Linked DNA regions of Oryzias latipes. The protein of the gene in region 3 purifies or fractionates together with the protein of the main gene of each other region. This does not show direct contact. Links are inferred from orthologs where the notes say so. Each region holds a gene or a part of one and is shown on either strand. Other genes may lie near its edges. The genes, in order: larp7, ybx1 and ssb.

Region 1 (3,125 bases), on a different chromosome or scaffold from region 3:
GCTGCAACAACCAGCCTCCTCAGGACTCTGTCTTGAATTACTTCATCAGCCTCCATCAAGACTAACAAGTCTTCTTAAAAGATTAAAACAAACCGACATGATATGTGTAAGCGTCTATGTTGATGAAACAGCCATCTTAAAGAGCCACTCCGATGATAATTATGTTTTTAACATGTTCCTTTTGACGATGGAAGACATGTATTTAGAAAAGTCTGAGTATGTCTGTATTCAAACCGCTGTGAATCAGGACCAGACGGAAAAAATGCAGATTAGAGAGTGTATTAGTGAGGATGACTCCCTATTGACTCTCAGCTATGGGTCGGGTTGCTCTGAACCACCAGTCCCGCCCACAACTCTGAGGTAACTACTGCCGCTCTGCAGAAACTATGTCCCACCAGACAACAGGCTTTTGATTTCGGCTAAAAACAGCAGATCATAGTGAAAAGACCACTGGGAAGGCTCTGAAAATGGATCAAAAATTAATGGAAGTGAGTCTTTAACAAGCACAGGAGTGTCTGAATTTAAAACAAACATTGTGATCGTGAAATTTCTGTTTTCTTTATTAGTAAAAAAACAATAAGATTTTCATTTGGAGTTCATTTATGTAGTATCTATACAGGATTGCTTTAAACACACAAGAACCTGGTAAAGAAAGCTCTGTCTTTATCAGCAGTACGTGGCATTTTTGGAACTCTAGTGCCAAAAAAACAACAAAAAAAAACCCCAAAAGGACAGAAACTACTTAAAACCATTCAAGTCCTCCTTCAAGACAGGAAACATCAGTTGAACGTGTGCAGCTCAGTCCTCCTCAAAGCGGATGTGCTTGTTCGCCTCCTTGGCTCTTGCCATGATGATTTTTTCAGCTTTAGATATGAGCTGAGGGGAGATGAGACAAGATTGGATGAGTTCCTTAAAAGCTTCTGCAAAAGAGTTTCTGTTCAATAATCATGTCTGCTTTAATGATCCAGCCAGTGGCAGAAATTTCGTTTTTGATCGACCAATGTGGAAATCTAAAGCAAATGATGACACTTTTTTACCCAGAAAACCCTCTGGTGTTTTCACTACATAATTAAAACAAAAGATAACAAGAACTTTAGTAACATTGGTAGATTTTTTTCACAGAAAACCAAAATTCAATGAAACAAAGTTGTTTTGTAGAAGTTGTTTCAGTTTTGTAAATAATGCAATTAAAACAAGCATTTTTTATTGTTAATTTATTGAACACCATTATAACACTGAGAACTAAAGCCAGTATCAGATCATCTTTCAGGACAAAAAGATTGATCATATTTTGTTTTTTCATAAATTCTGATTCATTGTGTTTTTTTAGGAACATTTTCTTTGATCAAGTTTCTTAACAGATGTCTGCATAATTCAGCCTTGCTGTAGGAAAATTCCTAAATCTCCTTTTTATAAGTTTCCACTAATCAGTAACTGAATTGAATCTTCATTCTCCGTAAAATGTTTTCAGCTGGTTAAACTTAAACTTTGTGATGAAGATTTTCCCTTTAACGTCAACGTGGATGCCAACAACTGGATGCTAACTTCAGCTTCAACGTTTAATGATGGATAAAGAAAGCAAAAATAATGACACAACTGTCTATAAAGTGGTATTTTATAAACATGATAATAAACATGAATCCACCGTGTCTACATCTTCATTACCTGCATATGTGTCAGTCGCTGCATATTGAAACATACTTTTTGTGCAATACTCACCAGGAACCACACCGTAACATATTGATATCACATTGATATTATATTATTTATTTATGTCTGAATGTAAACGGCTGGCCCGGGACCAGAGAGCCTAATTTCGTTTTATCATGTGATAAAATGACAATAAAGATTTCCTGATTCCTGATTAGGCAAAGCGAGCAGCTTCTGGTACGTGAAAACAATTGTCTCAATAAATCCGTATTTGGAGGAAAACTTCTAGTTCTGTCTGTAAATAGCAGCTTTATTTTCTTTGCAGCCAAAGACTCTTCTTTAGTTTCTTCACTGACTCTTCTCCCCAAAGAAACTTTCCAAATACGTTGAATTGTTTGGTTTTTGTTAGCTTTTAAGTGTTGAACTACTAACTTAGCGAACGAGCAGCTGCTTAAAGTCACGTGACGCGTCAAGACAGACGGATGTGGTGAACAGAATCTGGTAGTTTTCCAAAATAAAACTTCCTTTAGTATCAGAAAATAAACAAAACGGAAATAATCAAAGTTAGAGTTTGTATTTTTTTTTTGTCTGGCGAGCAGCCCTTTGACTGTTACTTACCAAACAGGAAACAAATACTTCAATTGACAACTGGCAAGTGTTAGTTTGAGAACCGAGATGCACCACAAGGACGTGCGACTGAACTTCACCTTCTCTTTGCCTCTCTTTTTTTCTCGGGGGCGATTCAGCTTCACCTGGCGGTCCACGAGGATCTTATGCCAATACCGCTGCTCTTGGTCTCCTTTAGGAAAAGTCAGAGAGCAAACCTGAGCTCAATGGGAAAAGATGACGTTCAAACACGGACTGGAGGAACCATGTCACACCTGTTAGAATCTCAACCTTCCAGCTGTGCTCCTTCTGCAGCTGTGCTTTGGCCTGGCAGACACCTTTGGCGCCCTCTGGTGTCAAAAAGCGCACATAACCCTCTGAATCTCCATCCAGGATGTCGACGTAAGCCACTTGAGACACTTCACACAGGATCTCCTGCACACAGCAGTGACACCTTATACAACCTGAACCACAACATTGCTCCCACGGACAAGAAATCCTGCATTTTCTATGACAAACTGCAGCTTCAAATCATAAAAAGAGAAGCCAGAAAGGATCCAGCACCTTGACGATCTTCCTTGCTGGTAGAGGTTTGCTGTCTGTGATCTTCACGATGACGCCACTGACAAACTGAGGACTCTGGTTGTTTTCTTTTTTGCTTTCAACTGCAAGTTAACAAAATAATGTTGCATTTCATTATGTATATCAGTTGCGAGGAACATGAGCATAGTTTACATCGTTTCTGCAGAGCAACAGTAGTTCATTAGAAATTCAATTCTGAGTTGTGGGCGGGGCTGTGGGCACGATGCAGCCTCACCCCCTCTGCCCGCCAATCCATGACTGAGAGCTAGCTTTCCAACCTAACATTA
Region 2 (3,756 bases), on a different chromosome or scaffold from region 3:
AGGTTGGATTGGGGGGTTCAGCAATCAATGGTGGCCGTGTGTGCAGCTCATTGCTCCCCCAGGTGATGGGTCACATGCAGTGAAGCAGTACAATACCAGGTTATAACAACTAAAAAAATATGTGAAAGGAATACACACCCTACATACAAAACGTCCGATCTGAAAAAAATCTCTTTTTTTCAAGAAACACGGAGATTGTTTCAAATATTCCAGTCAGTGCTGGAATATTTTCTATATTTCTATTTAATATTTCTCAAAAAAGGGCAGGATTGTCTTGAAAGTTCACTTTAAATATGGAGTTATTCTTGTTCTCACCATTTAAGGCAGGCATGTCCAAAGTCTGGCCGGTCCAAGGTGGGTTCAGAAACCTGTCAAAGGTTTCTTTCTAGATCTCTACAAAGTCTGGCCAAATGCAGCCCTCCTGAAAGCCTCTTCTAGCCTGCTGGTACCTTTTATAAAAATAAATGTGCTCCCAGGAAACTGTGTATGATTTCTTGATTATGATTGCCTACTTTATAAACCATTTTAAACCTATGGCAACACTATGATGTGACCCTTTTGCAATACCTTTTAGCTCATTTCTAAAATGTCGACTGTAAATTTAACAAATGTTGACAATTGGGGGTCGCTGCTTTCAGGACAAGTAGAAATTTGTGTATTTTTTTCAGTAAGATACTAAACATGCAAGAGGCTGGATGTTTTCAAGAAATTCAATATCAAGAGGGACTACAAGACAAGACATCCCAACTATGCCAAGCTAACTAGGAAAGAATGGTGCATGGTTTTCACATGTGAAATTCACTGTCATTTTGTTAAAGATTTATTAAGCTCTTCTTTTGTTCTATGTGTAGAAAATACAATTAATATGCAATAAGCATTTCCCTTAAACAGTTCATGTGCATTTAATGTTATAAGGGTTCAAAGAATGCAGGTTGAATGGTTGGTCCTCACAAATGTTCACCTCACAAAATCTAATTCTCTTTGCAAAAAGTCAAATCTAAAAATTTGCAGATTGGATCTTTTGTATTTTGGTTATCAAGTTTGGTTTTTGATGTTTAATCATCACTATTTACAGGTAACAACCATTCATTTTAAAAGTAAAAATAAAAAAGCAATATTGTGGATGTTTTTTTAAATTTACAATATATTCTGATTCTTTTGTGGGAGTCAAACTTTTTGAAATTTTACATAAATTGTTAGCCTCCAGCAATATTTAAAAGTAGGCTAATATTTCCTAATAATGCCATAAAAATGTTGTTTAACTACGGTTTTAAAAGGGGTTTACGTGGATCAACACTAGCTTTATGCGTCTTTTTTTTTAGTTTTATGCATCTGACACATGATTACAATGGGGCGGTGAAAACTGACAGGTACGGTACCTTTAACCAACCGTTCGTGAAAACGCGTCGCTTCAACTAGACTGACAGTAGTCTAGCCAATCAGAGGACGCCTTTTTTCTGTGACGCATTCAGTCAATAATTCCAGCCAGTGAAAAGCTCGAATGGGCGGGGCCACAACCAAGAACATTCCCCAACACAACTACTGATTCTGCCCAGTTCGATCGGCAACGGGAGCGGAAAGAGGAAAGCTGAGAGCCCGAAGGCAGTAGCCCCCACCACCGCCGGCCCACGTTACCATCTAGCACCGGGAAAAATAGCAGAGAGCCGCCGCCGGCAGAAGCCATTACCAACCAGTAACTATGAGCAGCGAGGCCGAGACACAACAACAACCACCGCAGCCTGCTGCCGATGATGCGGAAAGCCCATCCAGCCCGGCAGCTGCAGCTTCCGCGGGGGATAAGAAGGTCATCGGTAAGACTGCCGACTCCACTTAGCTAACTAGATGCTAAACGTGGTTTATGTTGCTGTAAACGAGACAGAAACAGCCGTTGAATTATGTTAATGTAAAATGACCGTTACGATCAACTTTATTAAGTAGTTGGACGTTAAACCGTACGTCGAATTGTGATACCAACTGTCAATATAATTATACATTTTAAAAACTGTCAGTTGGGAACGGTTATTCATTAATAGCGTATCATTCTCATTAACTATGAGATGTCACAAGTTTAGGAAAAATCCACATCTTAGAAATGTAGTAAATAACCACTTAATCCATGATTTTCTGTCTTGGTGGGAAAACATTTGCGAAAAAGAGACGCATGCATCCAAACGGCCGTCACATGGATGATCGTAGGAGTAATTTATGTCAGATCCAGCATGTTTACTACCAGACGTTGCAGACCTTTATCTCTCACCGTTAACCGCCAAAAGTACGAACAAAACCCGAAAAAATGACGAATAAATGTTTTAAACTTGGAAATACCCTGCGTTAGTTCACACTAACAAGTTCACCGGCAACTGACGCTAGCTGCTTACTATCCCTTTGTTCGCACAAGTGTCGAATCCCTGTATTCTCTGTCAAAGCTTAAAGGTGGTTGTTTTCAAGTTTATTTTGTAACTATTAGATATATTCAATAATAAACGCTTTGGGATTTGTATTCAAACCGTCCTAAGCTTTAACTCGATTTTTTTTTTACATTTTCGGTGAGGCCTAATTATTTCACGATAGCTTTCCAGTTGCTAACGATGCTAATGTTAGCCTAGCCAGCTAGCTGGCTGGCTATTTACATGGCTGAAAAGGCCACCCAAAATGTCCGCCGTTACACGATCCGTTTATACGTTACAGTTCTATTCTAGCTCGGTTTAGGTACTAAAAGCGCTTGCTTAAGTAGTTTCGAAGTAACATCTGTAAGATGTTGATGGGTTTATTACGTTGGTTTCCGCTTTTTGGCTATACTCCAACCACATGGTTGTAACTCTTAGCTACACGGCTAAGCTAAGAAGCCAACTCGGCTTGTTTTTCGGTCTGTCCGTGTGCGACCCTACCACGTGTGAACGCTCACGTCGTGAACTGGGCGTCTTAAAATGGGGCAGTAGGTCTTTAATGTCCGAGTTCTCTAAATGCAGTTGCTAAACGCGAGGTTACTTGTTTTGAAGTTTGACGTGTCGTAAGCTCTGTTCCCCGTGTTATCCGCATTCCTTCCACACATTTGCAGTCAATGTAATTGGACTGTTTTCTACCATGGCCGGAGCTTCACACCGGGAGCAGCTGGCGCCAGGCTCTCCTAAGCATCAGCATCTATAATAAGCACGACAGTTGGAAGTTATTTTTAACGTCCACACTATGGCTAGTTTTTTCCTGCACATATCTTATTATGTGCGATGCTTTGACTGTTCCCAATCTATTATCATATTTTCAAAATTTCATTACTGCTATTCTAAAATTACCTTTGCAGCTTAGAGAAGTAATATTGACACTTGATAACTGAGTTGCTCTGTTTTTCATTGCAGCAACAAAAGTCTTGGGTACAGTCAAGTGGTTCAACGTCAGGAATGGATATGGTTTCATCAATAGGTAAATGACCACCTCCAGCGTTCCCAATCCTATTATGATTATTGCTTTGCTAACGTGGCTGACCTGATTATTTTTTCTAGTGGTCTGCATGCACACTGTAACCTGCAAGACTTCATTAATCCTTGCACTTGTTGGCTTAGTTGCAATCTGTCTTCAGAGGTGTGTTGTCTTAGTAAGTCATGTGTGGTATAACTGAATCTTTTTATTTTTTTCTCTTTTTGTTCAGGAATGACACAAAAGAGGATGTTTTTGTACACCAGGTGACCTATTATTTTCCAAACCTTTTGGAAACTTAAAACATTTTTTTTTTATTTCGACTAATTCACTTTTCAATTGTTG
Region 3 (3,756 bases):
TAACAAATAAACAGTTGGACTCTTTTTTTCTGTTTGAAAACACGACAATCGTTGCTTTATATTTGTCCACCAGTCTGACGCAGGGCCACAATCACACATTAAGACTTTTTTGGGCAGTGGGAGGCAACCAGAGTCCACACAGAAAGGTCTCAATACATCCTCTTTAATGTACCCCACCCAGGACTCTGTGAGGTAATTGTTATAATATCATAGTGTATTACAGTGAATTTAACCCGTTTTTTCTCCCATTATTGTTATTAAATTAAAAGTGCAGTTCTTTGAGCTTAGTTGGTACTACAAATGTAAAGCAGGAGCAAAAAATGAAAACAATGTGCAAAAATTCTTGAAAGCCAAGATGAGTCAGTACACACAATACCTGGGTGTAGAAAATATTTTGAGAGGCTCAAGAGTACATTTAAAAATATGGTTTTTGTTTTTTTATTTTTGTAATTGTCACCGGATGGGGGCTCGAGAGCCGGTAGGACCCAGGCGCAGAGACGGGAGGCAAACGGGTTCAATGGCAAGGGGTTTAATTATAACAAACAAAAGGCGCTGCAGAGCAGGATGACAACAACAAAACAAAACTCACTGTGGCGTGGAACAAGAAACGAGGAACATGGCATGACAAGGACAACCAGGACAGGAATAACTAATGGACCAACACAGGAGGAAGGCAGAGACAAGACTTATATACAGACAGGGCAGACAAGACACAGGTGGACACGATCAGGGCTGAATGGGAACCAAAGGAAGTAAAACTCAAGAAACCAGACAAGACAGGAGACTTTCAAAATAAAACAGGAAACAGAAACAAGACAGAACAAGGACCAAAAACAAGACAACAAAATCAAATCATGACAGTAATGCTTAAAGTAACGTGTATTGATGGTTTCTTAATCTTTGTAAATAATGATACTAATGTTTACTCAAAAGCTGGGGGGCAAAGCTTTTTGCTGGGGGGGGGCAGCTTCCCCCTTTAGCTCCGCCCCTGCTGACTTGACTAAAAAAGCTAAGTTGACTTGAGTTTACTAAAATAACATTTTTTAATGAAAATCTTTTCACAGGGATGGATTTTTTGTTTCACTGAGGCAAATTATTAGTTTTTCAAACAGTAAAAAAATAAAATCAATTGGATTTTTCAAAATAGTCTACACATTTAAAGGAACATGCAAGAAAAAATCATCAGAAAATGGCACTGCGCTCAATGACACCATTTTCTGCACTTTTTCGTTTTTTAAATTTTTTTTCCATAAAAACTAATACATGGCCAGAATAACACCCTAAAAGAAATACTAAGTAATACTACCCATCGTGGTCCCTGAAGTCATAAAACGAGTTTTGTGTACTTCTGCCACCTGCTGTTTACGGCCTGAATTGGATGCACTATTGCTGAGTGAGCGAGGTCTGTCACGTTGGCTCTTTTTGACCCTCTGTGATTTCCGTAACACGCATTACTGCAACGTGCGAGCCCCGTAGTGAGGTCTTTAGGGTTAGAGTTGAAAACGCCGTGAGCAGAAACTATACACGTTGTAAGTATTGGTCATTATGACGGGGAAAATGTTTTAAGTATTGATTGTACATATTGAAAGGAAACGGGCTGTCTTTTTTATGGTAAAAGAAAAAAACATCCCATTCAGCATATTCGAGCGACATGCCGCGACCAATTGCGAAACCATGCTTCAATAACTAAACATATATGCACCGACATATTTTATCCATTGAAAATATAATATTTTCTCGACAGGCTCATGGTCACTTAGATGTAAAATTAGTGGTTTTCAGGGTCTTGAGGTGTGCGGGTTCTGTATTGACGTTAGTTAGCAATGGCAGCTAGCTAGCTCAGTCGAGTGTAATGAAAACAACATCAAATTCATTGCAAGTAGCATATATTATTATAGCAAGTTGTTGTTTGATGTTGGACTTTACGGTGTTTAACGTCCACGGAGTTTAGTTAAAGCCAAACTCTGTGTTATTTTGTTGCGGTGTATATAACTCGTTTGTTGAGCTTTGCAATGAAGTCGCACGAAAAAGGCATTACAATTTTTTTGGGCATTTATGCAGTAACAAAAACATAACCAGCTTTTTGGGCTCACAACTCAAAACCGTACACTACAAAATTGTTTCGTGAAAATGTAACACACATGTCTGACCTGCCAACTGCGCCCCACAGTGGTGAAAAACAAGCATTACACCACAGTTGGCAATGATCCACAAACCAGGTTTTTAACTGGACAAATACAGTGATCCCTTGCTATAACACGGTTTACTTTTCACGGTTTCGCTACTTCACGGATTTGCATCGTGCATTGTGTTCTGCATTCTGATTGGCTAAAAAGTCACTCAGCTTCTTCTCTACCTGTGCGTCAATAACGTTGCAGTTTAATATGTACACGTACGTAAAACAGCTTGCCAAATTTACATTATGTACGTGCAAATTCTCTTGATGTTGGCATGTCGGTGTATAAGGATGTTTTTGATGTTTTTGGGAAGAAGAAAAAAGAGCGACACCAACTATGATCACTATGTTCTTCTTCCCCCGAACAACACACCTGCAGCTGCACCGCGGGCTGCAAAAGAAGAAAACACTGCAGAGTAAAGTCAGGATGCAGCGGCTTAGTCTGGACTTAGAGCAGTTAAATACACCTATTTGTCCCACTGTACTTTTTTAAATCATTATTTTATAATGACAATTCTTCGGGTCGCGGTGGGCGGGGCTAATCTCCGCGATTTGAAGCCTTCTGTTCACATTGATGATTAAAATTATTATTTGACAGTACAGAACAGAAGTTATTTGTAGAAAAAAACGTTTCTAAGGTACTTTTATTGGTGAAACAAATGCTTGAGCCTGTAAAATGGTTTGTTCTGTCTTTTCAATGTATAATAGAGTATTTAAATGTATAATAATTGTTAAAAGATATAGAGGTTTCTACTTCACGGTTTTTGCCTATCACGGGTTCTTTCTGGAACGTAACCACCGCGAAAAACAAGGGTTTACTGTACATTCTTTTAGCAAGCTAAACTAAATGTATTTCTGTTGTGAAAGATAGTGGGTTTTCAAAATTCTCCTGAGTTTTTACTGAACAGTTGATGCACTTTCCACTGCAGCTTGCACTGAATGTCTGAAATAAACGAGCAAATAAGTTTTCTCTAGTACGCCAAGGAGAAAATAATGTCACCTTTCTCAGTTTTACCTGGTCCAACGTCACTATTTGGGTCAAAGCCTTGAATGAGATTTGATTAGGGAACACCACCAGGTCTGCTAAAGTTGACTATCAGCTCGCAACCCAGAAAACGTGTCATCATGGGTCAATTGTCATGTCATTTTTGCTCCACCACCATTTGGGGGGGGTTGCTGGAGCTTTTCCTCATCTTCTGCTAGTTTAGCTGTGCAGTAGATTGTTCAACGTGACCTTAAATTTTTATTTTTTATTTTTGTTTTTACAACTCATCATAGTTTGGAAATATCAATGCCTTTTTTTTCTAATTTCCCATTCAAAGCTCAGTTTTGTAAAGGGAATAATTAAGTATTCACATAACTTGCAATGAAAAGTAATTAAAGTGGAATTTTGATTATTAAAATTGGGAAATTTTAAATAAAAAACAAACAGAATGCAGACATTGATCCGTGGATGGGATGATTCTGCCTTTTTAAGTGAAGTTCAATCGATTTAATTAACCGGTTGCTGTGAACGCTGCACAAGTGGGACATCCTGATTTAGCAAAGATAAATGGAGTCTATGTCTGCAACTAACTAAA

The links.
Region 1: the proteins of ssb (region 3) and larp7 purify together in Homo sapiens (affinity purification with mass spectrometry; 4 studies listed by BioGRID and IntAct, with this or other methods). This does not show direct contact. The link is inferred for Oryzias latipes from reciprocal best matches to the Homo sapiens genes SSB and LARP7.
Region 2: the proteins of ssb (region 3) and ybx1 purify together in Homo sapiens (affinity purification with mass spectrometry; 3 studies listed by BioGRID and IntAct, with this or other methods). This does not show direct contact. The link is inferred for Oryzias latipes from reciprocal best matches to the Homo sapiens genes SSB and YBX1.

The regions. Positions count from the first base shown.
Region 1 is NC_019876.2:11,522,729-11,525,853, forward strand, and holds the end of larp7 (la-related protein 7), read right to left. Parts: intron 2,922-3,125; coding exon 2,821-2,921; intron 2,692-2,820; coding exon 2,532-2,691; intron 2,450-2,531; coding exon 2,358-2,449; intron 877-2,357; coding exon 799-876; 3' UTR 537-798; downstream 1-536. Other genes in the region: uncharacterized protein LOC101168076, read left to right, coding at 1-65. UniProt on the Homo sapiens protein: RNA-binding protein that specifically binds distinct small nuclear RNA (snRNAs) and regulates their processing and function.
Region 2 is NC_019865.2:7,798,140-7,801,895, forward strand, and holds the start of ybx1 (nuclease-sensitive element-binding protein 1), read left to right. Parts: upstream 1-1,563; 5' UTR 1,564-1,699; coding exon 1,700-1,811; intron 1,812-3,353; coding exon 3,354-3,417; intron 3,418-3,643; coding exon 3,644-3,677; intron 3,678-3,756. UniProt on the Homo sapiens protein: DNA- and RNA-binding protein involved in various processes, such as translational repression, RNA stabilization, mRNA splicing, DNA repair and transcription regulation.
Region 3 is NC_019879.2:21,745,566-21,749,321, forward strand, and holds the start of ssb (lupus La protein), read left to right. Parts: upstream 1-1,408; 5' UTR 1,409-1,529; intron 1,530-3,756. UniProt on the Homo sapiens protein: Binds to the 3' poly(U) terminus of nascent RNA polymerase III transcripts, protecting them from exonuclease digestion and facilitating their folding and maturation.